7 linked regions of the Sus scrofa genome follow. The protein of the gene in region 4 interacts with the protein of the main gene of each other region in a pairwise test. Links are inferred from orthologs where the notes say so. Each region holds a gene or a part of one and is shown on either strand. Other genes may lie near its edges.

Region 1 (2,942 bases), on a different chromosome or scaffold from region 4:
ACTGTGATGGATACATGTCATTATACATGTGTCCACACCTACAGAAAGGACGCCGCCCAGAGTGACCCCTAAGGTGAACCATGGCCTTTGGTTCATCCATTGTAACAAATGTACTTGGGGGGGGGGGAATGATGGCAGTGGGGGAGGTCGTGAGTGGGTGGGAGGGCAGGGGATGGGAAATCTCCATACTTTATTTTTTTAGGGCCACACTCTGGGCCTCTGGAAGTTCCCCAGCCAGGGACTGAGTCCCCAGTGGCAGCTGTGACCTACACTGGGTCCTTTAACCCACTACCGAAGCAGGGGATCCAACCTGGCCTTGGCAGTAGCCGCCCCAGCAAATGCCTAACCCACTGTGACACATCTGGAACTCCTCTGTACCTTCTGCTCCAGTTTTCTGTGAGCCTACAGATGCTAAAGAGAGAGAGCCGGGGGGGGGGGGGGGGGGAGAGAGAGAGAGAGAGAGAGAGAGAGAGAGAGAAAGGCAGAGCAGCACGCAGGAGTTAGCGGCCCCAGCCTCCTCACGCCTTTATTACTTCTCTGAGTTGAACAGATCGCCCTGGCACAGGGACCAGCGGGTGGGCGCCGGCGGGCGGTGACAGGAAGGCAGGCGATGTCGTTTGCCCCCCCAGCTGGGTGCCTCTGTGCGCCTGGGGGGCGGGGGGGGCGGGGGGGGCTCAGACCCTGCTGGGCTTCTTGGGGTCCTTGTTCTTGGCCGGCATGAAGGCGTACAGCTCCTCAATGAGCATCTCCATCCGGGCCGTGACCTCCGTCACCGTGTCAATGACGAGCTTCTGCTGCAGCTTCAGCTTGTTGTTCTCCCACAGCGCCTTGTTCTCCTCCTGGAAGATCCGGTGCTCCTCGCGCAGCGCGTGCAGGGCTCGGTTCTCCTCCTGCAGGAGCCGGTTCTCCTCGCGGAGGACCTGCAGGCTCTGGTTCTCCTCCCGCAGGGCCTGCAGGGCCTGGTTCATCTCCCGCAGCAGCTCCAGCGACTGGCTGCCGTCGGGCAGGCTCGGGCCCGCCTTGCCCGCCTCCTCCACCCCAGGCGCCCCGGACAGGTTGCTGACCATCTCGCGCAGGGCACGGTAGGTCTTGGCGTCCTCCTGCGGCCCCGGGGGGCCCTTGGGCTCCTCGAACGGGGAGGAGAGGCCGGCACCCTGGTCCGGCAGCAGCCCGTGGGGCTCCTCGTGGGGTGAGGACACCGGCTTGATCTCCTCGGCCGAGGCCACCTTCTCGTCCGGCTGGACCCAGTAGGCCTTTCTCTGCTCCAGCAGCTGCTGCAGGGCCCGGTTCTCCTCCCGGAGGAGCTGCAGGGTGCTGTTCTCCCGGCCGCGGTGCACCTGCAGGGCCGCGTCCTTCTTCACCGCATCCATGGCCGAGGCGGTGTCCTTGTGCAGCAGCGGCGAGGATGCTCTGCTGTCGTCGCGGCCCAGCGCCGCCTGGTGCTCCTCCCAGAAGACCTGCAGGATCTTGTTCTCCTTGCGGAGGGTGCGGTTCTCCTCGCGCAGCGCCTTGTTCTCCTCCCGCAGCGACTTGTTCTCCTCCTGCAGCAGGCACTCTTTGGCCAGCCTCTTGTGATGCAGCTTGTGGTGGAAGGACGAGGACGGGGAGAAGTAGGGGGACTGCAGGCGGCAGTTCTCGCTCACCCAGCGCCCGACCTGGAAGACGAACATCTCGTCGCTGAGCTGCACCCGGGGAGGGTTGTAATCCAGCTCCAGGTCCGCCTGGGAGGTGGGGCGCTCCATGGGGTCCAGGGGCACGGAGGAGAAGCGGTTCAGCGGGTAGGAGTGCTGGCTGACCACCCGGCGGCTCAGCCTGGGCAGGGCGGCCTGCCTGGCACAGCGCGGGGCGGGGTACAAGTTGTGGAGCCTCAAGAAGGGCTCGGCTGTGCCCCTCTGCGGGAGAGAACAGGGAAGCCCAGAGTTAGAGAAGGCGTGGGGGAACCCGGGGCTGGAGACCCTGCAAGAAACCCAATCCGGGAGTCTCGACTAGCGCAGTGGGTGCTTCTGCACTTGGCCTCTGGGGTTCCTCCCGAGGAAATACATCGACCCTCACTAGTCGCGACAGTTCTGTTCTATACAGTTCCACGAACTCATAGAATGTGCGCATACTGAACCATTGCCAGGAGAAGAAACACAGGTTCCCGCCAGCCTCTGGTCACATTGTCCTCAACCAATCAATATAAAACTTTGCTTTCTGTTGAAAGACACCTTCCTGAAAATGTATTTTTTTATTTGTTAACATCAAACTTGCAGCCAATAGCACTGTACCGTATTCCTGTCTCTGTAAGGCACATCAATATCTTCTGGAGCTTAGGACCCCGAGACAGCACATCAGCGCTATGCTTGAGCGCCACTGTGGACAATGAAGTCACTGACAAAAAGCGTAAAAGTGTGAAAACAACAACATTAAATAAACTGTGAAAAGAGCACTATTTTGCATTCTGAGAGCTGAAACAAGAAGGCGCCTCAACTGGAAACAGGTACATCAGGGAACTTAAATTGTTCATTATTCTCTACATGTCCACGAATCACCACAAACATGCCACGTGTATTGATTTTGGAGTTGCAAACTAATTTCAGTGAGAAAAAAATGGGCAAATTCACACACATGGAATCCACAAATAATGAGAATCCACAATGTATCATGGAGGTTAAAAGCGTTGATGTTGGCATCAACCAACTACTCTGAGTCCTGGCTCCACTCTTTGATCAGTTACAAGAACAGGGACAAATTCCTGTGAGCTTTAGTTTCTACTGTCTTCCATTTGGGATAATTGCACCTACTGCTTTGCCTCATAGTGATATTTTAGGATGCAAAGAGGTCCTGTATGAAAGCACTAAGCGTGGGCTCTGGCACACTTCTGTTACCCTACAGGAAGAATAAACACTGATCAGCTACCCCAGCTGTAGATGTGCACGCACAATTGGCATCACCTAAGAGCC
Region 2 (4,263 bases), on a different chromosome or scaffold from region 4:
AGCATTTTGCAGCTGAGCGTCTCTAATCTGGAAAACATGCAAGAGAGAACGATATTTTCAACTGGACAAGAGCCTAACGTGATTGAGTTTATCCTCGGCTACCACCCCTCTCATATCAAAGATGATATTCATCTCAAAGGCTTTTCTTTTTTTTTTTTTTTGTCCTTTGTCTTTTGTTGTTGTTGTTGTTGTTATTGTTGCTATTTCTTGGGCCGCTCCTGCGGCATATGGAGGTTCCCAGGCTAGGGGTTGAATCAGAGCTGTAGCCACCAGCCTACGCCAGAGCCACAGCAACGCGGGATCCGAGCCGCGTCTGCAACTGACACCACAGCTCACGGCAACGCCGGATCGTTAACCCACTGAGCAAGGCCAGGGGTCGAACCCGCAACCTCATGGTTCCTAGTCGGATTCGTTAACCACTGCGCCACGACGGGAACTCCTCAAAGGCTTTTCACATGAAAACAGAAAAGCGGCATATTGCGATGGGTCTTTCTCACACAAAGACTCATAAAATGCAACTTGAGTCCCAAGGGTTTGGCCAGCTTACGATTTTACAAACGGATGGTGTATTTCAACTCGAGCCATCAGACTTTATTGTGTGCCTTGCCTTTGATGTTGTTCCTGCTTAGAGTAGTCCTCTTAGCCCCTCTCGCTTGGTGAACTCCTCTTCCTCCACGTCTTAGCTTAGGCATCATTGCTTCAAGGCGGTCTGTCCTCAAAACAGCGCTGGATAACCTGCCTGCGCCTTCATTGCCCTACACTTCCCTCAGTGCCAGGATTTATCCATCCTTGGCATGCCCATTTCCCCCACATCACATCATCTCCACCGTCATATTCCTCAGTGCCCAGCTCCTAGTTAATATCTACTAAATATTGGCCAAATGAATGCACCCTTGCTATGTGGTAGGGTTTCGACTAGGCACTGGGGCTGTCAGGATGGATAAACCCCTGATCTTAAGGAGCAGTTACCTGATACTGAGTCCTCTAAAGTGGACCAGAAATCTGCTTGTAAAAGATGCTACAATGGCAGGTCTCTTTCAATAGCCCTAGTCCCGAAAAGCACTGCCTTCCTTCACATCCTGGGTCTGCCCACCTAAATGGAACATTTGCCTGTGTGTTTGGGATGTCCAAGGTAACTTCAGACACGTGAATCATGAGGGGGTAGGGCGAATGGCTGGCTGATTTTGAACGTTTTCTAGCGGGAGCCCAAGGAGAATGACATGTTGGTGGAAGGGACAATTTAAACACCTTTGTCTCCCATCCCCATCCTCCTGAAACCCCGAAATAACTTCTTATGAATCTGAATCGAATTGCGCTGATGTCTAACACAACATAAGAGAAAGAGACATGTTGGCAAGCGGCCCTTGCTCTCAAGAAATAGGAGTGTTAAAATAGAAATGAAAACGAAAGGGAGGGATTAGATAAGGTTAGCAAACAGAGTAAGTGTTCTGTATCATATTTGAGATCTTCAACTAGGAGCAAAGTCTTTTATTCCATAAAATTGATAAAACGGAGAACTCCACCTTTTCTTGTATGATATGGGAGCAGGTATGATTGCAATAAATTTGAATTGCGGGCAATAAAATACTTTATGACTGTAGAACTGGTTTCTGCTGGGGGATGATCAGATTATTAAACATTTAAAAGACATTTTAAAATCCAGGTATCATTAAGACCTTGGCCCCTGCCCCCATTTCCACCCTGAATCACTTTATCATTGAAATCTCTGAACGAATATTCTACTGCTTGAATTACAACATTTACATAAATGAAAGGAGGAAAATCTCTCAATTGACCGGGGTTTTAAAAGTTGATAGAAATTAGGTGAAAAACTATGAAAGGTTTATTGCTACATAAAAAATTGTTAGCTCTTCCCAGAAAAATATGTTTACTACCTGCTTAGCCCAGACTTGGTAGACTATGTGTGACCAAAATTCAGATTGTAAGACTGGAGGATAAAATTTTAATATTTTATGTGTAATTGGATGGTGATGATTTTTTAAATGAATGGTTTACAGTCATCCTATCATGTAGTCAGGTACTGCAGTACGCAGGGTAGATAATGGGATATATACCATTTTGAGCGACGCAACATTTAAACCTAATTTGCTTTATAGCGTTTGGACCCACCTAACGTATTTGCCTTCTTGACATACATATCATGCTGCTGACCAATGGAGTGGAAAGCCCAGACATCACGCCTCACCTGATTTCGAAGATCTTGGATTTGTTGGAGATACGCGCTGTGGTCCCGACTGATGCCAGGCGTGTTGCTTTCATACCACTGCTTGATCTGCAGTTCAAATTTGGAGTTGGACTGCTCCAGGGACCGCACTTTTTCTAGGTAGCTTGCGAGGCGGTCATTGAGGTTCTTCATGGTCATCTTCTCATTGCCAACCCACAGGTTCCCTTCAGCTTGGTCGCTCCCATAGCTCACCACGCGTCTAGAAGTTGAGATGCGGGTGCCATGGCCTCCAGCACCCCCATACACGCTGGGTGCGGCTCCGAGGTACTGGGTGCCCCCCTTCCTGTATATGGAGCTGCTTATGCTGAGTGCAGGGCCCTGGGAGGAAGAGCTCAGGGTTCTGCGGAAGCTTTTCTGATTGAAATCCATTGGGGATTCTAGGAGGGAGCAGCTGTAGCTTCAGGATGGATGGAGCAGAGTCTGTCTCTTGGTCCTGGATGAGCTGACCTTTTATAGAGTTCACAGGAAAGAAACGCCTCCTGTGCTGACATCTCCCTTTACGATCGATCGACACCGCAGTCCACCTTGCCTTGCTTTTTTTTTCCTCTCCTTTGTGCAGCAGTCTGTTTAATTCTGTTCCAGAAATTACCACTAGAGGCCTTTCTAAGAGGCTTTACTCAGAGGTGATTTCTTTTTTAAACAGGGGAGACAAAAGGAAACAGGAAGGTGTATTCTTTTATCCTCTGCACCTGCTTTGGCCCTTTTTATTTTCCATCCTAATATACACATAAAGAGTATTTGCAGTCTCTATGAATAATTTACCTGAAAAGACAGATGTGGTTATATAATAGTAACTCACACTGGTGATAAAAAGCAATGCTTAAAATTTTTTTAAAAATTCAGTACATTTTAAAACTCTCAGTACATTTCAATTATACAATACCGTGTTGTCAGCTCTAGTCACCATGTTTTTTTTTGTTTGTTTGTTTGTTTTTTTAGGGTCACACCTGTGGCATATGGAGGTTCCCAGGCTAGGGGTCTAGTTGGAGCTACAGCTGCCGGCCTACGCCACAGCCACAGCAACATGGGATCCGAGCCATGTCTTCAACCTACAGCTCATGGCAACACTGGATCCTTAACCCACTGAGCAAGGCTTCATCGGATTCATTTCCACTGCACCACAATAAGAACTGCTTTTCTTTTTCTTTCTTTCTTTGTTTTTTTTTTTTTTTTTGTAGACACCACATTTGAAATGAGATCTTCAGAACTTACTCATCTTATAGCTGAAAGTTTGTACCCTTTTACCAACCTCTCTCCATATCCCTCACACCCAGCCCCTGGCAACCACTTTTCTACTCTCTTTTCTATGAGTTTGACTTTTTTTTTCTTCTTCAATTTAAGATTCCACATAAAAGTGATGCTATGCAGTATTTGCCTTTCTCTGCCTTGGCTCTTTCGCTTAGCATAATGCTCTCGAGGTCTCTCTGTTGCTGCAGGTGGCAGAATATCTGTGTGTGTGTGTATATATATGTATATATATTCTTTATCTGTTCATCCGTTGATGGACATGTAGGTTGTTTCCATATCTTAGCTATTTATGAATAATGCTGCCATGAACATGGAAGGGCAGTTGTCTCTGAGACAGTGATTTCATCTCCTTTGGAAATATACCTGGAAGTGGAATTGCTGGATCATGGTGTTGTTCCATTTTTAATTTTTTGAGGGACCTCTGTATTGCTTTCCGTAATTGCTGTACCAGTTTACATTCCCACCAATAGTACACCAGTGTTCTCTTTACATCCTATTATCCCATCTTTTTATTTTTATTTATTAGTTATTTTTTTCTCTTTCGGCTGCTTGCATGGCATATGGAAGGTCCTGGGCCACGAATCAAATCCAAGCTGCCAAAGAGACAGTCTGGATCATTAACCCACTGTGCCACAGCGGGAACTCTGTTATCCCATCTTTTTGATGATAGCCATTCTAATAGGTGTGAGGTGCTATTTCATTATTTCATTCTTCCCCCCCCCCCCCCGCCACCGGGAGAAGGAATGATTTATTACCTGCAGCAAGTAAGG
Region 3 (3,500 bases), on a different chromosome or scaffold from region 4:
CCACAGCATGTGGAGGTTCCCAGGCCGGGGACTGAACCTGAGCCACAGCAGTGACAATGTAAAATCCTAAACCTGCTGCACCACAAGGGAACTCCTATTCTGTGTATCTTAATTATGGTGTAAAATTAAGGATACTGAAATGATACATGAAGTATCTTAGTTTTAATGACAGGTTTATTTGTATTCAAAAATTGAAATCTGTGTAATTTTGGATGGTGTTTTTCTACTTCTTTGCATTTCCAGAACCTGGTTCAGTATATAGTCAGAACTCAGTAAGTTCTTTTTTTTTTTTTTCCGCCTTCCTTTTTAGGGACACACTGGTGGCATATGGAAGTTCCCAGGCTAGGTGTATAATCGGACACCTTAGCCACAGTAACAAGGGATCCAAGCCGTGTCTGTGGCCTACACCACAGCTCACGGCAAGCGAGGCCAGGATTTGGATTCGCCTCCTCATGGATACTAGTCAGATTTGTTTCCACTGTGCTACAATGGGAACTCCCAGTACGTTCTGACCATGATGCATGGCTTCTACGTTCTAAGGCCTTTTATATTTTTTTTGGCACCAAGACACAAAAGTCTTGGTGCCACTGTACCAATTTGAGGGGAGAGAGTTGTACTTTAAGTGCAAGGCTCTTTTCGGGGTACACGGGGAGTCTGGTGCACGACATGTTCTAATGGGACAATTGTCTAGTTAATATCTATCGCGATCATCTTGTGTGTGTGGCCTACACATAACAGGGTTACTTTAATGCGACCTGAATCTAGCATCTTTCATTTTAGTTGGTCAGACTAGGGAAAAAGGAGTATTTTAATTTTTAAAATCTACTAAAAATGTCAATAAATCAAGATCACAGCAGGGAGAAAGAAACAGCTCTTTTATGATTACTTCTTTGAAAACAGGTACTACCATTTAAAATTTTTTCATCCCTCATGGACTTGGGAGAATAGACTTGGGGTTGCCAAGGGGGAGGGGGCAGGGGGCGGGAGGGGGAGGGACGGGGAGTTCGGGGTTAATAGATGCAAACGACTGCCTGTGGAGGGGATAAGCAGTGAGATCCTGCTGTATAGCACCGGGAACTATAGCTAGTCACTTGCGATGGAACATGATGGAGGATAATGTGAGAAAAAGCATATACATATGGCTGAGTCACTTTGCTGTACAGGAGAAATTGACAGAACAGTGTAAATCAACTATAATGAATAAAATAAAAGTCTTAAATAAAATAAAAATTTTGCATCAAATTTAGGACAGTGTTTGCTGAGGGGAGGGCATGTAACCGAGGAGGGGTTATAGGGGGAGCCTTCACAGTGCTTAAGTGGATCCTTTTTTCAAGCTGGGTGAGTGTTCACGGTATTATTCTCTTGTACCTCTTTGCATAGCTTCACTTTTGCACAATTCTTTTTTTTTTTTTTCCTGGGCAGCATACATACGGAGTTCCCAGGCCAGGGATCAGATCTAAGCCACAGGTGGGACCTAAGCTACAGATGCAGCAAAGCTGGGTCCTTCAACACCCAGTGCTGACCAGGGATCGAACCTGTGTCCTGGTGCTTCAGAGACACTGAGAATCCCATTGCACCTTGGCAGGAACGCCACAATTCATTTTTTTTTTTAAGAAAAAAGTGAAAAATTATGTATACTATTCACAGCTTTCTTTTGTTTCACATACTGGACCACTTACATCCAGGACACTTCACCCAGGGTGAAGAGAGAGATTTCTCTCATCATAGCAGATTTTATGTGTTGAGAAAGCTTAGAGAAAGTAAAAATCAACTTCCACACCTTCCCAATGGTTTTTTTTTTTTGCTTTTTAGGGCCACACCCACGGCATATTGGAAGTTCCCAGACTAGGGATGGAAACGGAGCTACAGCTGCTCGCCTACACCACAGCCACAGCAACACGTCTAACACCTACACCACAGCTCATGGCAATGCCCGTCCTGAACCCACTGAACGAGGCCAGGGACCGAACCTGCATCCTCATGGATACTAGTCGGGTTCATTAACCACTGAGCCATAAAGGGAACTCCTCCCAATGGTTCTTTATTCTCAAAAAAGTCTCTTATGCGATGTTAAACATTGCTCTTAATTGCAAATGTTATTTCAGTGGAACAGGATTGGTACAACGGCAGCGACATGCCACACCCCAAAGGCGACTCTCCCGGCTGAGTAAATACCTCGATTTCCTGTAACTGCTCCTGATTGGTTGTGTACATCTGCTGAAGAGAATCCTCCAACTCTGTGTTCCGATCCAGCAAGGTCTTCCCAAGCTCAGCCGCAAGCTGGAGATCTAGCACAACAGGTAAAGCTCAGAAAAGCACAAACGATTCCACTTCAACATCTTATATAACCCAGTTCTTAAAATAAGAATGAACCAAGACCCAACCTAACATATAAAGTTGAAGTCAGATCCCAGAGGAAGGTGGAAATGGCACAGAAGGAAACCTGGGTTCTACTCAAAATTCAGCTGAATTGGGGCCTTTTACCAGGTAACGTACTGGGTACCCTTACTTGTTAAGACGTGAAGGACAGAGATCTACTTTCTGGAGGTGCATTCATTAGTTTAGCAAGGATCGTTTAGCACTGCGATGCCTAAGATCATAATTATTTGCTTACGGACTGGACTTAATCATGTGATGGTTGTCTACTTTTTTGGATGGACGGTTAAGCCAAAGTAGTCTTTCCACACTCTCTAAAGTTCCCATGAATCTGACAGCTGTGAGAGCAACGCTCAAAGTAAAGTGTGTTCTGGAGTTCCTGTTGAGGCACAGTGGAAAAGAATCCAACTAGGAAGTAGGAGATTGCAGGTTCAATCCCTGGCCTCGTTCAGTGGGTGAAGGATCCAGCGTTGCTGTGGCTGTGGTGTAGGCCGGCGGCTACAGCTCTGATCGGACCCCTAGCCTGAGAACCTCCATGTGCTGTGGTACGGCCCTAAAAGGCAAAAAACAAACAAACAAACAAACAAACAAAAAGCAAGCAAGCAAGAAAGCCAAGTGTGTTGTGTTGTGATAGGTCCTGGCCTCCTAAAGGGACTAAACGTTTAGTCAAGAAAAGGGAAAAAGCATCAGTGATGAGAACACTGCCTCTGATCTCTCTCATTTTTCTTCCCGTTTCTCTCCATGCCCTTCTCCAGGATGAACAAACCAGATGCATAGAGCAACAGTAGTTTGTGTGGTAACTCAGGTCGTAGCTTATACTTTCATTTAACACAGAACCATGTCTATTTAAACCTCATTTTTCAATGCTGTCTTCATAGGCATATATGCACCTAAGACAGGATTTGTATTATATACAATCCTAGAAATAAAAATTTAGTGATACAAAAAGGGACAACAGGAGTTCCCATCGTGGCTCAGCGGTTGAGGAACCCCACTAGTATCCATGAGGATGTAGGTTCGATCCCTGGCCTTGGTCAGTGGGTTAAGGATCCGGCGTTGCCGTGAGCTGTGGTGTAGGTCGAAGATGGGGCTCAGATCCCACGTTGCTGTGGCTGTGGTGTAGG
Region 4 (3,500 bases):
GTGGCGCAGTGGTGAACGAACCCGACTAGGAACCATGAGGTTGTGGGTTTGATCCCTGCCCTTGCTCAGTGGGTTAACGATCCGGCGTTGCCCTGAGCTGTGGTGTAGGTTGCAGACGCGGTTCGGATCCAGCGTTGCTGTGGCTCTGGCGTAGGCTGGTGGCTACAGCTCCGGTTCAACCCCTAGCCTGGGAACCTCCATATGCTGAGAAAGCGGCCCAAGAAAATGGCAAAAAGACCAAAAAAAAAAAAAAAAAGAAAGAAAGAAAGGCACTTACACATAAGCCTGCACTTCTCTAGGAAGTCCCTCGCTCGATGTCACCTGATCTACAGCGAGGTCCTTTAGGAGTCCCCTTTGCATGACATCTTGGAGCCTGGCTACTCCTCACTTGGACAGCAGGGGGGGCGCTGGGAGAGACCATCCCTGGACTGGCGGGGGAGCCTCCTGAGGCCGGCTGGGGAGCAGTGGATGATGGAGCTGTGGCTGACTTCTCCGCCCAGGAAGAAGGTGTGCAGCGGGCCCGAGAGGAGGAGGAGAAACGCAAGGAGGTGACCTCGCACTTCCAGGTGACACTGAATGACATCCAGCTGCAGATGGAACAGCACAATGAGCGCAACTCCAAGCTGCGCCAGGAGAATGTGGAGCTGGCAGAGAGGCTCAAGAAGCTGATTGAGCAGTATGAGCTGCGGGAGGAGGTGAGGGGTCCCCAGGGAACTGGGATCTGGGCGGGTGCTGGACGCCGGGCAGCACCTTCCAGGTTTCATCCCATTCACAGTCCACCCTCCTCTGTCCTCGGAGGGGGTGATGTTGTACATTTTCATGGGGATGGGGATCCAAGGCAAGGAGAAGAGACTTGCCTGGAGCCACAACCACCGGTCTTGACCCAAATGGCGGGGCCAGTATCTTTAGGCATTAGAACTGCTCACATTTTAGACTGGAGTTAAACGTTCACAGACTGTATGTTACATAGCGCCCCCAGCAGGCCCTTGTGGCAGCACCCCCGAGTCAGACACATGGAGATTTATGCAGTTAAACCTCTGAGGCAGCTCCCCTTGGATTATTGGTTAGCCTGACAATGACTGGGGTCAGCCGTATCTGCCTGCTTTTGATGATTTCAATTTTCAGACTTTTTTAGAATTTGGAATCACAAGGTGAGAGCTGGAACTATCATGAGTGATGGACCCTCGGGGCTGTGTGCTCTTTATTATTTGGTGTTCTGCTGCCCTTGCTACGTGAAAGGGCAGGATATACAGTGCCTTGGCTGGTGTTGGGTGCTGCCCCAGGCTCTCAGATCCTTCCCTCTGAGTCCCCAGACACCATTCACTTGGCTGTCCTGGGCTTCTGTTTCTTTGTCATGAAAAGAGAGACTGGCAGCTACCTTATGGGGCTGGACCAGACCCCTTCCTAGGCCCTGGAATGTGGTGGTGGGTGGGTGGGCAAGCCCCTACCCTCTTGGGTTCACAGTCCACACATGCAGTGACCATGTGTGTGCAGGGCCTGGAGGGGCCTCCCCAACCCACCTCTTCTTTTCCTGTGCTTCATCCTTTGGGAACAAGACTGGTTTGAGGCGTTGATCTGAGAAACATGGAAGCTTCCTGAGTTAGGCACCTAACTTGGAAAAGTTGAGGGCCCTCTCCCTCTCCTCTCTCACTGGTACTACCTGTGGAGCTGGTGGTGCATCCCATCCCCAGTCAGATTCAGGCATTCCCACCCTACCCCCCTGAGCCTCCGGACTTTCAGGTGACTCAAATCCATCCTGTCCCAAGCTAGACCTCGAAGCCACTTCCTCTTCCCACATCCAGAAAATACAGCCAATGCTCCACCTCCCTCTTTTCAGTTGCTTTGACCTTTGAAGTAGCACTTGAGTCCACACCTTCTCTGCATCACTGCTCCCCCCGCCCTAGTCCCAGTTCCCAAGGCTCCTCCAGCTGTCAGGACAGCCATTCTCTGGGATGCACACATCTAGTCTACAGATACAGCAAATTTCTGCCAGCTGAGCTGGTAGAGGTGTCATTTGTGCCCTTTCCATTTACAAAAGTGAGGGTTGTCGGGAGTTCCCATTGTGGCTCAGCGGTTTAAGAACCCAACTAGTATCCATGAGGAATGCAGATTCAATCCCTGGCCTCATTCAGCGGGTCAAGGATCCGGCATTGCACAAGTCGCAGATGTGGCTTTGATCCCAGCATTGCTATGGCTGTGGCGTAGGCTGGCACCTGCAGCTCCAATTCGACCCCTAGCCTGAGAACTTCATATGCTGCAGGTGTGGCCCTAAAAAGCAAAAACGGGAAAAAAAAAAAAAAAAATGAGGGTTGTCAGTCCAGTAAAGTAATCTTTCTTAGGGCTAGAGGTTTGGGTGTATTAGTTACTTGACTTTCTGGAGTTGATCTCATGCTTAAACCCCTGTGCTTACCCGAGACTGACTGAGGCAGAGAAATAAGGTGAGATTGGGAAGAACTTCCAGAGACTTGTGTCCCGTGTTCCTATGGGACACATGGGAGTCCAGCATGTCAGACTCAGGTGGGGGGCTGGGCATTGTGCCCTGGTCTCTGCAGATGGGGCCTCCCTGAAAAAGGGAGCTCCCAACAGGCAGACCCCTCCCACCATGCTTTCCTGCAGCATATCGACAAAGTCTTCAAACACAAGGACCTACAGCAACAACTGGTGGACGCCAAGCTCCAGCAGGCCCAGGAGATGCTGAAGGAGGCAGAGGAGAGGCACCAGCGGGAGAAGGATTTTGTGAGGCTTGGACCCCGGGGGTGGGGGGCCTGGGTTCTAGCTTATCTCATAGTTAGGTTTGTACAGGAGAAGTTGCTGCCTGGTGAGACCAAGGCACTGCTCCCTCAGACCAGTCTGTGAGCAGGAAGCCTCAGTGGGTTATGGCATGTGTGGCTGAAAAAACAAGCCCTTAGGAGCTTCTGATGGGATCTGGGGTCCTTTCTCGGAAATAGCTCCTCAAAGAGGCTGTGGAGTCCCAGAGGATGTGCGAACTGATGAAACAACAGGAGACCCACCTGAAGCAGCAGGTGAGCCTGTGTAGCCCACCCCTACATGGTGTGCCTCTGTGATCCCCACGCTGAGCCCCACCTGGGGGGAGGGAAATGGAACCCTCATTCTAGGACCACCTTGACTCCTGTGTGCCCTTGCTGAGCTTTGTTCTCTCTGGACCTGCCCAGCACCTGTGTGGTGGTGACCAGGTGGCTAGGTGAGCTTGCAGGACTCTGTCCTAGTCAGAAATGTTATGCTGCATTTGAGGAGGCAGGCTCAGAATGGGTGATTTTATTTATATAAATTAGGAGTTCCCTTCGTGGCTCAGTGATTAATGAATCCGACTCAGAACCATGAGTTTGCGGGTTCGATCCCTGGCCTCACTCAGTGGATTAAGGATCCAGCATTTCTCAGACGTGGCTCAGATCCCGCGTTGCTGTGGCTCTGGTGAAGGCCGGCAGCTACAGCTCCGATTAGACCCTTAGCCTGGGAACCTCCTTATGCCATGGGTGCAG
Region 5 (4,018 bases), on a different chromosome or scaffold from region 4:
CCTTGGACCAGCAGGACCTCTCCTTCTCTCTTAGCTGATGGAGGGCAGCTGTGGCGGGGCTGTCAGCACCATGCCCCACAAAATACTCCTTTTTTTTTTCTTCTTTTTTAGGGCCGCACCCACAGCATATGGAAGTTCCCAGGCTAGGGGTAGAGTCGGAGCTACAGCTGCCGGCCACAGCCACAGAAACACCAGATCCAAATTGCATTTTCGACCTAGGCCACAGCTCACAGCAACACTGGATCCTTTTTTTTTTTTTTTTTTTTTTTGGTCTTTTTGCTACTTCTTTGGGCCGCTTCCGCAGCATATGGAGGTTCCCAGGTTAGGGGTCTAATCGGAGCTGTAGCCGCTGGCCTACGCCAGAGCCACAGCAATGCGGGATCCAAGCCGCATCTGCAACCTACACCACAGCCCATGGCAACGCTGGATCGTTAACCCACTGAGCAAGGGCAGGGACCAAACCCGCAACCTCATGGTTCCTAGTCAGATTCGTTAACCACTGCGCCACAACGGGAACTCCAACACTGGATCCTTAACCCACTAAACGAGGCCAGGGAGTGAACCCGAATCTTCAAGGACACTATGTTAGGTCCTTAACCCACTGAGCCACAATGGGAACTCCCAAACGCCCGTTTTAGTAACACCACCCTTCCCTCTGCCAGAGGATACAATCACGAATGGATTTCTGCTCAATCTGCTGTAGCTCCAGTTCAACCTGCTTTGAATAGTGACGGAGATCCACACCCTGGAAGAGCATAAACACGATGGGTTGGGGGGGGCAGTCAGAGAAGGGACACTGCAACAAAGTCAACAAAGGATTTGGGGAGAAGACATTAAGATATTACACGAAGAGACTGTTTTCTTCTTTGAGGGGAGGGTGAGTGGAGGGGCAGATTAGGAGAGCAGAAAACCTCACCGTTTTAAGAGCTTCCTTTACTAACTCATCCTCCAGATTTGCCTGAATGTGAACTGGAAAGAGAAGTTTATCATAAGGGTCCAAAGGGCTCCACAGCGCCCGCTACCCACATCCGAACATCTGCACACCAATTCCTGCCTTATTACCTCCAGCCCCCATGCCTCTTAAGATGACAGGCACTGCGGCCACCTCGTGCCATCACTTACCATCAACTTCATCCAGGATGAATTCATCAGAGGTGAGGTCCAACTCTCCAAGTTGCAGTGGCTCCTGGAGACCTGGACCACCCCCCTGGAGAGGGGCAGGTTAATGGGAAAGGGAGGGGGAGAACAAAATATAATGGGGAGAGAGGACTTTCACTGGGAAACCAGAGAGAAATGCTGAGTCCAAAAAATTCCAAAATCTCATATTGTCCCAATCTACTCATTGGGGCTGATGGGTAGGGAATATGACAAGGAGCCAGCAAACCCACAGAGGTGACCAAATGAGGAAAATTAGGAGATGCAGGGACAGAGCAGAACTTGCAGTTGAACTTAGGGTCTCCAGACTCCTTCTATCTTAGATGTTCTGTTACAATCCCCGTGGGGAGCTCCAGCCTTTCTAGAAATGTCAGTTAACACAGTGTTCACCATCGTGCCAGGTGTCATCCTACATTCACCTAATCCTAACCGACAACCTCTACAGTAAGTCTTATTTTTTCACTTTATAAGTGTTAAGAGTGATGACACAGAGAGGCTAGTTAACTTGCCCAAACACACACAGCATAAGTGGCTGAGCTGGAATTAGAACCGAGGCAGTCTGGCCATGTTCCTAGCATTTACTCTACACCGCTTCTCTATCCTGCGCAAATATCTGGAGTTTAACTGAAACTGTGGCCCCAGAACCTAAGTATCAGCCATTCTAGTCCCCACTTTGGTCCAGGTCCGATCCGGGGAGGGGTATGGAGAGCCAGACCAGGCAGCATCACCGGTAGCAGCCGAGCTCCCAACCTTGCGCGAAACCCAGCCCAGACCTTTCTGACGTGAGAAGACCGGACGAGACTCTGGAGGAGAAACAGCCCTGCGTCCTCACCAGTGGGCCCTCCTCCTCCTCCATATCTGAGGCCCCGGACCGCAACACCAGCTCCCGGGCGGCTGCCGCCATGGTAGCAGCGGCAGCCATTCCGCGCAGCCCCACTTCCGGCAGCTGTCGGGCAGGTCCGTTCCCCTGAGTGGAACTGCAAGTTCTGGGGCGTGATGCACGAAACCGTTCCCAGATATTTGAGTTAAACAGACTGCCTCTAGCTCTCCCCTTTTCTCTAAGCTCTTCGCCCAAGTCCAAATGGAAACTGAAAGTCTTAAAAAGAGAATCTCAACCCGGAACTCTCGTGGCTCTCACGCGCAAAAACTTTACGATCTGTAAAGAGAGACGGCACCGGAAGTTGTGGCGCGCAGTTCTGACTCAGAGGCCTAGCCGGCTCAGGTACAAGGAGTTTCCGGAAGCGCTTCGCCAAGGTCGCTCCGCCTCTTCCGCCTGGAAGCTATATAAGAATGTCACGTCACTTCCGCTCTCTCTTCCACTGGAGGCCTACACGCCGCCGCCCGCGCTGCAGCCATGGTAAGAGTTGGGTTCGTTCGGGTATCTGGCGACATCGGAGCCGGGACAGGGAAGGCTTGCTGTCAGAGCGCCGAAAATGTCCTGGCCTGGGGGCTCGCAGCGTTTTGTGTGGAGCCTTGGGCCTCATTCCTGGAGAAGGACGACAAAGCACCCAGTTCTAGGCAGCGGGGCCCGAGGATGAGCGCTCCCCGGGCTCTGGGAAGGCTTGGGAGCGCGTGGGCCCTCCGTCCCGCCGCTTGGGAGCGGGCAGGAGGCGTTCTCCTCCGGAGATGGCGTTCTCCGATCCTGGACGCTTCCTGTTGTGCTGTCGGCAGGACCAGGGAGTCGTGTTGTGTCGTGAAGACCTGACGGGGGCTCTTTGCACCTTGCGTGACAAGCTTCACGCTCGTGTTTGGGGTTAACGGTTTGGCGGGAATTAGCGAAGTCTGACATCTCCCCCCATCTCTATCAGTCTCTAGTAATCCCTGAGAAGTTCCAGCACATTTTGCGAGTACTCAACACCAACATCGATGGGCGGCGGAAAATTGCCTTTGCTATCACTGCGATTAAGGTAAAGGAGCTGGGGGTGTGAAGGAAACTTGGGTAAACACCTGAGGTGTAAGCGAAAGTCTCAACCGTGTCACCTGGGCTGCTGGGTAAAAACAATGGTCAGGGTCCATCTAAGCCCTTGCCACATTTGCCGCAAAAGGTAAGTGGTAAAAGCCAAAGAACCGTCTTAGGTGAAGCAAAGTTGTTTTCACCTAGGGGTTGGGGAAAGGCTTTGGTTGTCTGCCAGCATTTGTTCACTAAACCGGCCTGGACCATCAGCAGTCAACTTATAAGGTCCCTGCTATATAGGTTTTTGCTCCTCCTAGTGCATCATAAGAGCAATTCTTGTGAAATGTGTATGTCCTGGAAATGGGATAATGGTACACTCTGAAGGGAGAGTAGAAAGGCCAAGAGATTCCAAGCATGAAGAAACCAGGAAATGGGGGGGGGGTCACTATTTCATAACAAGGTCAGTGAGCACAGGCTTAACTAACATAAAAAAATGACCTTACCAGTATGTTTATGTTATGTGGTGCCAGGGCTAAGCCTTTCTTGCTCACAATCCCCAAAGGACACCACAGTAAGTATTTTATAGATAGGTTGTTAATTTAAAATGGTGAATCACAAGCTTTGCTTTATAAGAGCCATCATGTTTACTTTGAATTCTTTTCATTCTGTAATTCAGGGTGCACAACTTTCGGTCTTAAGTGGTGCATGAGGAGACTGCTTCCTTCTATTGTGAAACTAGTAAGGCGGTGCACAGTAGAGGCTTATTTTATTGCACTTTACAGATAACCTCTTTTTTGTGGCAACCCTGTCTTGAGCAAATCATTTTTCCAACAGCATTTGTTCACTTGGTGTCTTCTGTCACATTTTGGTGATTCTCACAATATTTCAGACATTTTCATTGTTATATTTGTTACAGCGATCCATTGTCATTGACTTTTGTTACTATTGCACAAAGGCTCAGATGATGGT
Region 6 (3,500 bases), on a different chromosome or scaffold from region 4:
TAAGCAAAAGCTGAGAGAATTCAGCAACACTAAGCCAGCTTTACAACAAATACTAAAGGAATTTCTCTAGGCAGAAAAGAAAAGGCCACAACCAGAAACAAAAATACCACAAATGACAAGGCTCACCAGTAAAGGCATGTATACAGTAAAGATATGAAATCATCCACACACAATTATGCTATCAAAGTCAGAAATAGTGAGAAGAGGAGGATACAAATCAAGTTAAATAAAATTCTTAAAAACTTTTTTCCTTAGGTAAATAATTGACTTTATTTGATGAATACTTAATATTGATACTGCAGAAAAATATTTGCCCCAGACTAGTGGGCTTTTGGTTCATTTTTGTTTTTTCATTTGGTTTAAGTTCTTTTACTTTTATTGGAGTATGGTTGACTTAACAATGTTGTATTAGTTTCAGATGTACAGCAAAATGAATCAGTTATATATATAACTGATGGATGTATATATCTATTAACATACATGGATATATAGTGGATATATATAATTGACATAATATTATTATCCATTATAATATATATAATGGATATATGAGCCATTCTTTTTTCCCATATAGGTTACTACAAACTATGAGCAGATTTTCCTGTGCTATACAGTAGGTTCTTATTAATCATCTATTTTACACAGTAGTGTATATTATTAACCCCACCCCCAATTCCTCCCTCCCCCAACAGTTTCATCTATGGTTACTAGAAGACTGGTTTTGAAATCTGTTTGTTTCTGTTTTATAATTTCTTTTGTATCACTTTTCCCCACATGTAAGTGATATCACATTTGTCTTTGTGTGACTTACTTCACTCAGTATGATAATCTCTAGGTCCATCCATGTTGCTGCAAATGGCATTTCATTCTTTTTTATGGGTTAATGATATTCCATTATGTATATGTACCACATCTTTATCCATTCCCCTGTTGATGGACATTTAGGCTGCTTCCATGTCTTGGCTATCATAAATAGTGCTGCAATCAACACTGGAGTGCATGTATCTTTTTGAATTATGGTTTTCTCTAGATAGATGCGCAGGAGGGGGATTGCTGGACCATATAATATGGTAGTTCTATATTTAGCCTTTTAAGGAATCTCCATACTGTTCTCCATAGTCATCGCTCCAATTTACATTCCCATCAACTGGGTTGAAGGGTTCCCTTTTCTCCACATCCTCTCCAGCATTTATAGTTTATAGAATTTTTGATGACAGACATTCTTACTGGTGTGAGGTGATACCTCAATAGTTGTGATTTGCATTTCTCTAATAATTAGTGATGTTGAGCATATTTTCATGTGTTTTTGGCCATCTGACTTCTTTGGAGAAATGTCTATTTACATCTTCTGGCCATTTTTTTATTGTGTTGCTTGTTTTTTAAACTATAAAGCTGCATGAGATGTTTGTATACTTTGGAGATTAATTCGTTGTTGGTTACTTTGTTTGAAAAGATTTTCTCCCATTCTGTGGTTTGTCTTTTTTTTTTCTTTTTTTTGATGGTTTCCTTCACTATGCAAAAGCTTGTAGGTTTAAGTCTCACTTTTATTTTTGTTTTTATTTTCATTACTCTAGAAGGTGAATCCAAAAAGATACTGCTCTGATTTATGTCAAAGAGTGTTCTGCCTATGTTTTCCTTTAGGAGTTTTACAGTATCTGGATTTATGTTTACGTCCTTAATCCATTCTGAGCTTATTTTTGTGTGTGGTGTTAGAGAATGTTCTAATTTCATTCTTTTACATGTGGCTGTCCAGTTTTCCTGGCACTACTTATTAAAGAGACTATCTTTCCTCCACTGTATGTTCCTGCCTCCTTTGTCATACATTAGTTAGCCAAAATTTTTTTTAAATTTATTTTAACTTTTTCTATTACTTAATTATTAGTGTTGCTTTATATTTTCAAATTTAAAAAGAATCTAGTGAAAATGTAAAGTAGTTCAATTATATTACAGGCTAATAATATACTGGATTTTGTTAGTATTCTGAAATCATTTGAATTCCTAAACAATTTGTCTATAAACTTAAGTTTTCTTTTAGTCTCAGTAAGTTGTAAACTAGGACAACAGCTATAATAGAGGTTAAGTTCAAAATTATATCCAGTTAGTGAAAACATCAAAACATCTGAGAACAAGCCCTCAAGGTTTGAATGCATATAAGTACAAAGATATTTGAGTAAATCTTCTCAGACTGGACTTATTATTTTCAAGTAGTAAACTTTGGTAACTTGTTTCTGAGAACTACTGAATTGTCTTACCCTTTTTCTGCTTTATCAGTTCCTCATGTGCCAGATTTCTCTCACTTGTTTCATTCTCCAAGGCCTTTTTATACTGTGCCGCTTCTCTGGAAAGAATGTTTAGATTATCTTCAGCTTGTGTTCTCTCTAACTCTAAACGATAAATCTTTTCCTGAAGAGTTTTTAAGGCTAAAATAAGAGCTGTTGAAAAAAAAAATTGTTTACTATTATTTTAAGTGAGAATTTTTGAACACTTACTATCATAGCATTTAAAAGTGAACAGTTTATTTTCGTTAGCCATAAAAATAAGTAATTTATATTCCTCATTAAAAAAAGAAAAATTACTGAAACTCTAAAAAGGGTTAAGTTCTAACTTATAAAAACAATATATTTATGATTGTATTTAGTAATTTTTTAAATTTGAGATTTGAAAAAGCTAATAATCCCAATTTAATTTCATAAAATATATTCATATTAAAAGACAAAAAGATAATGTATAGTCTGGGATGCATAAGAGTCTGAGTACGGATGAAGAAAATTAAAACATATTATCCAGTGGGAGATCCCCTCGTGGCTAGTAATGAACCCAACTGGTATCCATGAGGATATGGGTTTGATCCCTGGCCTTGCATAGTGGGTTAAGGATCCAGCACTGACAGTGAGCTGTGATGTAGGTCGCTGGTGCAGCTCAGATCCCACATTGCTGTGGCTGTGGTGTGGGCCAGCAGCTACAGCTCCAATTTGATTCCTAGCCTGGGAACCTCCATATGCCGTGGGTGCAGCCCTGAAAAGACAAAAAAGATACATATATAGTATCCACTAATTAACAAGGAAATTCAGGTTTAAAGTCACAAGTTTTTGCAGTTCTTGATATGCTTCAGTTTTGGTCAAAACACATTTTCTATTTCTTTATATACTTTCAAGATATAATGTTAATAATTAGGACACATGAGAAAGAATATAGTTTCTTCCATTAAGAAAAAATTACAACCTAGTGGTTTAACTGATATCAGGCTTGAAAGATAATAACTGTTACACATGTACTACTGTGATTTTTATTCAGCTATATTAATATCTTCATGATTCGGATAAGTTCAGAGTTTACAGACATTATCTTATACTTTCTTTTCAGTTACTACTTTAAATTATAAAACTAAAGATGAATGGAATATAAATAAATGCTCTGGGTTAACTTTCATATAGTTTATATCCAATTAGAAAGATGTTTGCTAGAGATTATTTCGTGATTTGGATTATTATTTCTTGAAG
Region 7 (3,996 bases), on a different chromosome or scaffold from region 4:
AGAAAAGAAAAGTGAGTGCAACAAGGGTTAATCCTTATTCAAAGGCAATCATTCAAACCGTCTGAACAAATATGGCCACTGAGTTAAGAAATAATAATAACTATTTGAAGTAACAGCAGTACTGATGATGGTGATGAGTTTGCAGACGCCCTCCTGCAGCAGAAACCTCTTGGTGAGGATGCGGAGCGCAGAGCGCGATCGCCCCCATCCCCCATTCTCCGAACCTTTCCGGACTTGCGGGAGAACCGCGAATTGTGGGAAGTCGGGGTAGTTCGGGACACTGCGCAGAAACCTGTCTCCAGGGCTGCACCCGCGGGGGCGAGCGCCCAGCTCTGGGGCGGGGAACGCGGGGCGCGGCGCCGGGCTCTGCAGGGCTGGCTGCGCTCCACGCGCGGCTCACCACGTGCGCCCCCACCCGGCCAGCGGCTGTCGGATTTGGCCCCCAGCTGCGAAGGGTGGGGCCGAGCTACTAGCTCAACTGACGAGGGTCTCTCGTGCGGAGACCATCCAAGGGGTCTGACCCAGGAAAGCGTGGAGGACAGAGCGTGGGCCGTGGGCTTAGGCTGCGGGAAATAGCCCCAAGGTCCTCCGAATGTGGGAGGGCGAGAAGAGAAACCCTCCCCGCCCTGCTGGGAAGGGGTCACCTCTGCGGTCCCGCGGCCGGCTGGGGTGGGGCCGCCGCCTTTGTGTGGCCTGGCAGGGCTCTAGCCAGCCCGTCTGCAGAGCTACTTTCTAGGCTGGGAGTGGCTCGGAGCTGGCACTCGGAGCAACGCCCGGTGTCGGCTCACTTCGAGGGGCGCCTGGGCTGTTCTGGGCTGCGGGGTTGGGAAAAGGGGCACTGGGACTGCAGATCGCTCAAGGGCCCCTCCCCAAACCCCTTTCTTGGCCAAGTATCTGAAACAAGGGCTTTTGACTCCGCCAGGGAGGGTGGGGCAGGGAGGAGCTGTCCAGAACAAGCCCTTTTCGCTGGCTTTTCCCTTCTCCGCATCCCACACTGGGTCCTGGGGGAAGGGTGTTTCCAGCTGCCACCCAATCTTGGGTCCCTCCCTGCCAGTCCCCAGCTCCCACCTACCCCCTCACGGGGGGGGGGCATTGGAGACGCATGACCCTTTGGGGATGGAGGCCCTGGATCCGGAACTTCGTTTGGTCTCTTCTGTCTCCACTGTCTCTGACACGGGGCTGAGCTTATGAGAATTGTTGGTCTTTGGCCCTGTCTGACCTACAAAACAGATATTTTACTTGGCTCAATTTAAGACGTTGACCTCTTTTGTATCCGGTTATTATATATACTCATATCTAGGTTCCGAAGCTTTTTCCCAAAAACGACCAAATGAGTTCAAAAAGCCTTTATCTGCGTTTAGTCTAATCACCCTAGGTAATGTGTTTTTGAAAAGAAAAATGTTAACCCACTTTTGCCCCCTTCTCTCCCTAAAACAGAACAATGAGGCCAGGGGTGGGGAAGGCGGGGGCAATGGTCAGGTCTCACTCGTAAGCAGAGCCAAGGAGTCAGGAACGCAAAGCACGGGGCGTGGCGCGTGGCCATGCTGTCCCCCAGGGCTGGGCTCCCGGGCGTCGCGCTGCGCTCCCGACCCGGCCCCTTTTCCGCCGAGGATGCTGCGCCGGGCTGCGGGGGAGGGGGGAAGGCGCCGGCGCGGCTCCGCACAGGGTGGGGCAGTCCGCATTGTGAGCCCAGCTCTGCAGGTGCCTCCCCCCGCCCCCAGGGGGGGACTGCTCGTCCTCACACAAAGAAACCCCACCCCAGCGCCTGCGAAACCGATGTCCCTCCACCCCTCCCCAACGGCGCACTTCCCCGCCCCTGCAGCTGCCCACCCGCGCCCTCCGTGCCCTCCCGACTTCCTCTCTCCTTCCCCTCCCTTTCCCTAAAACAAAGGAGTATAAGTCTCCCCGCCGCCCCCATCCCCCCAACCCCGCCCCGATCCCTTCTCCCTGCACCGCGCCCCAGGACTAGCGGTTTTTCCGACTAGACAATACCATAAAATTTGCCCGGTTCTTCACCCGCCTCCCTTGTCTCCACCCATCTTTCAAAAAGCCTAGATAGGACGGCTTTGACTTTGCATTTTTCTTTTTCCTTTCTCTCATACCCCCTTTTCTTCCCTATTTTCTTTCTTTTTCTTTTTTTAACTAGAGAAGAAATAAAGCACGTTACAAAGCACTTTTCAAAATATCGCTTAACCCGGTTTAAGGCATACTGTTAAGATAGCCCCCTCCCCCCACGACTGAGCCCTAATTTAAAATATGGAAACAGAATAAATTTCCTACCCATGGGAAGTCAACTTACCTGCTTTCACCTTAAAAAAAAAAATTCTTCGCTTTAGATGTTTAAGGATCCCCTCTGTTTCCTCCCCCTAACCCCAGTGCTGCTTCCGTCCTTGCCGATTCCTATGTTACCAATAACATCTTTTTCTCTAAAAAATATCTCCAAATGCCTATGAGAGAAGGTGAGAGGTGGGCTCCAGAGAGAGCCGAGGAAGAACGAGGCGCGATGCCTTACCCATTGCTGTTTTAGCCATTGTAGGGATGTGCAGATGCTGAGCGGTGGCGAAGGCGGAGGGTCCAGCTACAGCAGCGCAGAGAGCGAGAGAGAAGACTGAATAAGGCACTGAGTCTGCAGAGTGGGACCGTGCGAGAGAAAGAGCAAGAGGCAGGAGCCCATGAATAATTATCACTCAGAAGCTCAAGCAGATTGGCTCCCAAGGTCCCCTGACATGACTCCCACAGAGTCAGAATCTCCAAGCATTAAATATTGATCGGCCAATGGTGCTGGAGTACAAAGTACCAGAATGCAGTTTGAAATGGAAATCAGTCCTTCCTGGCAGCTCCCCCCGTTTTGGGGGCCTGATAGTACAGTCCAAGTAGAGTGGAGCCTTAGCCCAGAAGCCTTCTAGGAGCTAAGAACTGGGCTGTGCCTACCTGGGAGTCAGGAGGCTTGACTTGATTCGCACATGTTTCATTGCACAAATAGACATATAAGAAGGAAAGGGATTCGCAGGCCTGAGAAGTCTTCACAACATGCTGACTGTTGGAAATAACTGTTTAAACCCTGTTTTCACTAGTTCATGTTTTCTCTTTTACCTTTGGCCACATCTTTGGTAGATGATAGTCTTCCAGGGTGACACCATGTCTGGCCGTGGTGGAAACTCAGTGCAGAACTGCATTATTGTCCTTTGTCTCCTAACACAGCTGGACTCAGGCGTCTCTAGACTCTTGAGGATCTCTCAGCAGAGCAAGGCCTGATGTTTTCTACTCGTGACACAGGAGGAAGGGGCTGCCTGGGTTGCTTGGGAATAGGGACAAGCAGTTATGGTCTCTCTGGGGACTTTGTGGAAGAGAATGAGCATTAGCCTCTTGTGCCTGGGTCCTGTGCGTCTGGAAACAGGGCAGAACCAGGTTGACTGGTTGGCTTGAGGACTGGAGGAGCCAGAGGTGGGTGGATGCCATGCTACCCTGGAGATGTAGAACTGCACTGATTGAAACCTCAGTGAACTTTCTAGGGCTCTAAGGAGAACCCACTGAGAGCTTAGTGGAGATGAGTGGTGTGGTCTGGAGTATTTTTTTTTTTTTTTTCTGAGATGCAGAGGTACCATTGATACAGGCTAAAGAAAGATGTGTTCATGTTCTAGGCTGAGGATTTCTTGAAACCAGCTGAAAAAAGCTGCTTTTCATTATGAACAAGATATTCCTTAATTCACACCTACTCACTTAATGAATGCTATTCATTGGTTCCTTTTTTTTTTTTTTTTTTTTAACTTGACTCACAGAAATACTCATTAAGCATTTACTATGTGCCAAGCTCTGAGGCCACAGCAGTGAGAAACATTTTAGGACTTGTTCTCTTGGAGCTTTTAGTCACTGTTATTTTAACACTTCTGTGACTTCACTGAATCTTCCTCCAATCAAGGTCTATTCAGAAACTGTGATTTTGACATTGGGAAAATAGGCAAATAATCCCCAATTCCATTATATTTGTAAGCTGAA

Evidence for each region.
Region 1: the proteins of TXLNA (region 4) and SPERT interact in binary tests that used the Homo sapiens proteins (3 or more experiments, as listed by UniProt). The two-hybrid records come from large-scale screens. The link is inferred for Sus scrofa from reciprocal best matches to the Homo sapiens genes TXLNA and CBY2.
Region 2: the proteins of TXLNA (region 4) and KRT20 interact in binary tests that used the Homo sapiens proteins (3 or more experiments, as listed by UniProt). The two-hybrid records come from large-scale screens. The link is inferred for Sus scrofa from reciprocal best matches to the Homo sapiens genes TXLNA and KRT20.
Region 3: the proteins of TXLNA (region 4) and CDR2 interact in binary tests that used the Homo sapiens proteins (3 or more experiments, as listed by UniProt). The two-hybrid records come from large-scale screens. The link is inferred for Sus scrofa from reciprocal best matches to the Homo sapiens genes TXLNA and CDR2.
Region 5: the proteins of TXLNA (region 4) and VPS52 interact in binary tests that used the Homo sapiens proteins (3 or more experiments, as listed by UniProt). The two-hybrid records come from large-scale screens. The link is inferred for Sus scrofa from reciprocal best matches to the Homo sapiens genes TXLNA and VPS52.
Region 6: the proteins of TXLNA (region 4) and CEP57L1 interact in binary tests that used the Homo sapiens proteins (3 or more experiments, as listed by UniProt). The two-hybrid records come from large-scale screens. The link is inferred for Sus scrofa from reciprocal best matches to the Homo sapiens genes TXLNA and CEP57L1.
Region 7: the proteins of TXLNA (region 4) and STMN2 interact in binary tests that used the Homo sapiens proteins (3 or more experiments, as listed by UniProt). The two-hybrid records come from large-scale screens. The link is inferred for Sus scrofa from reciprocal best matches to the Homo sapiens genes TXLNA and STMN2.

What each region holds. Positions count from the first base shown.
Region 1 is NC_010453.5:21,611,819-21,614,760, forward strand, and holds the end of SPERT (spermatid-associated protein), read right to left. Parts: intron 1,893-2,942; coding exon 675-1,892; 3' UTR 501-674; downstream 1-500.
Region 2 is NC_010454.4:21,583,220-21,587,482, reverse strand, and holds the start of KRT20 (keratin, type I cytoskeletal 20), read right to left. Parts: upstream 2,801-4,263; 5' UTR 2,615-2,800; coding exon 2,207-2,614; intron 28-2,206; coding exon 1-27. UniProt on the Homo sapiens protein: Plays a significant role in maintaining keratin filament organization in intestinal epithelia. When phosphorylated, plays a role in the secretion of mucin in the small intestine.
Region 3 is NC_010445.4:23,806,803-23,810,302, reverse strand, and holds part of CDR2 (cerebellar degeneration-related protein 2), read right to left. Parts: intron 2,289-3,500; coding exon 2,176-2,288; intron 1-2,175.
Region 4 is NC_010448.4:88,666,551-88,670,050, forward strand, and holds part of TXLNA (alpha-taxilin), read left to right. Parts: intron 1-500; coding exon 501-695; intron 696-2,616; coding exon 2,617-2,736; intron 2,737-2,948; coding exon 2,949-3,023; intron 3,024-3,500. UniProt on the Homo sapiens protein: May be involved in intracellular vesicle traffic and potentially in calcium-dependent exocytosis in neuroendocrine cells.
Region 5 is NC_010449.5:29,636,369-29,640,386, forward strand, and holds the start of VPS52 (vacuolar protein sorting-associated protein 52 homolog), read right to left. Parts: upstream 2,801-4,018; 5' UTR 2,513-2,800; coding exon of another isoform or gene 2,510-2,512; 5' UTR 2,078-2,509; coding exon 1,988-2,077; exon of another isoform or gene 1,929-1,987; intron 1,208-1,928; coding exon 1,123-1,207; intron 970-1,122; coding exon 917-969; intron 746-916; coding exon 670-745; intron 1-669. Other genes in the region: RPS18 (40S ribosomal protein S18), read left to right, coding at 2,510-2,512, 2,964-3,062. UniProt on the Homo sapiens protein: Acts as a component of the GARP complex that is involved in retrograde transport from early and late endosomes to the trans-Golgi network (TGN).
Region 6 is NC_010443.5:75,208,993-75,212,492, reverse strand, and holds part of CEP57L1 (centrosomal protein CEP57L1), read right to left. Parts: intron 2,433-3,500; coding exon 2,253-2,432; intron 1-2,252. UniProt on the Homo sapiens protein: Centrosomal protein which may be required for microtubule attachment to centrosomes.
Region 7 is NC_010446.5:57,003,945-57,007,940, forward strand, and holds the start of STMN2 (stathmin-2), read right to left. Parts: upstream 2,801-3,996; 5' UTR 2,532-2,800; coding exon 2,513-2,531; intron 1-2,512. UniProt on the Homo sapiens protein: Regulator of microtubule stability. When phosphorylated by MAPK8, stabilizes microtubules and consequently controls neurite length in cortical neurons.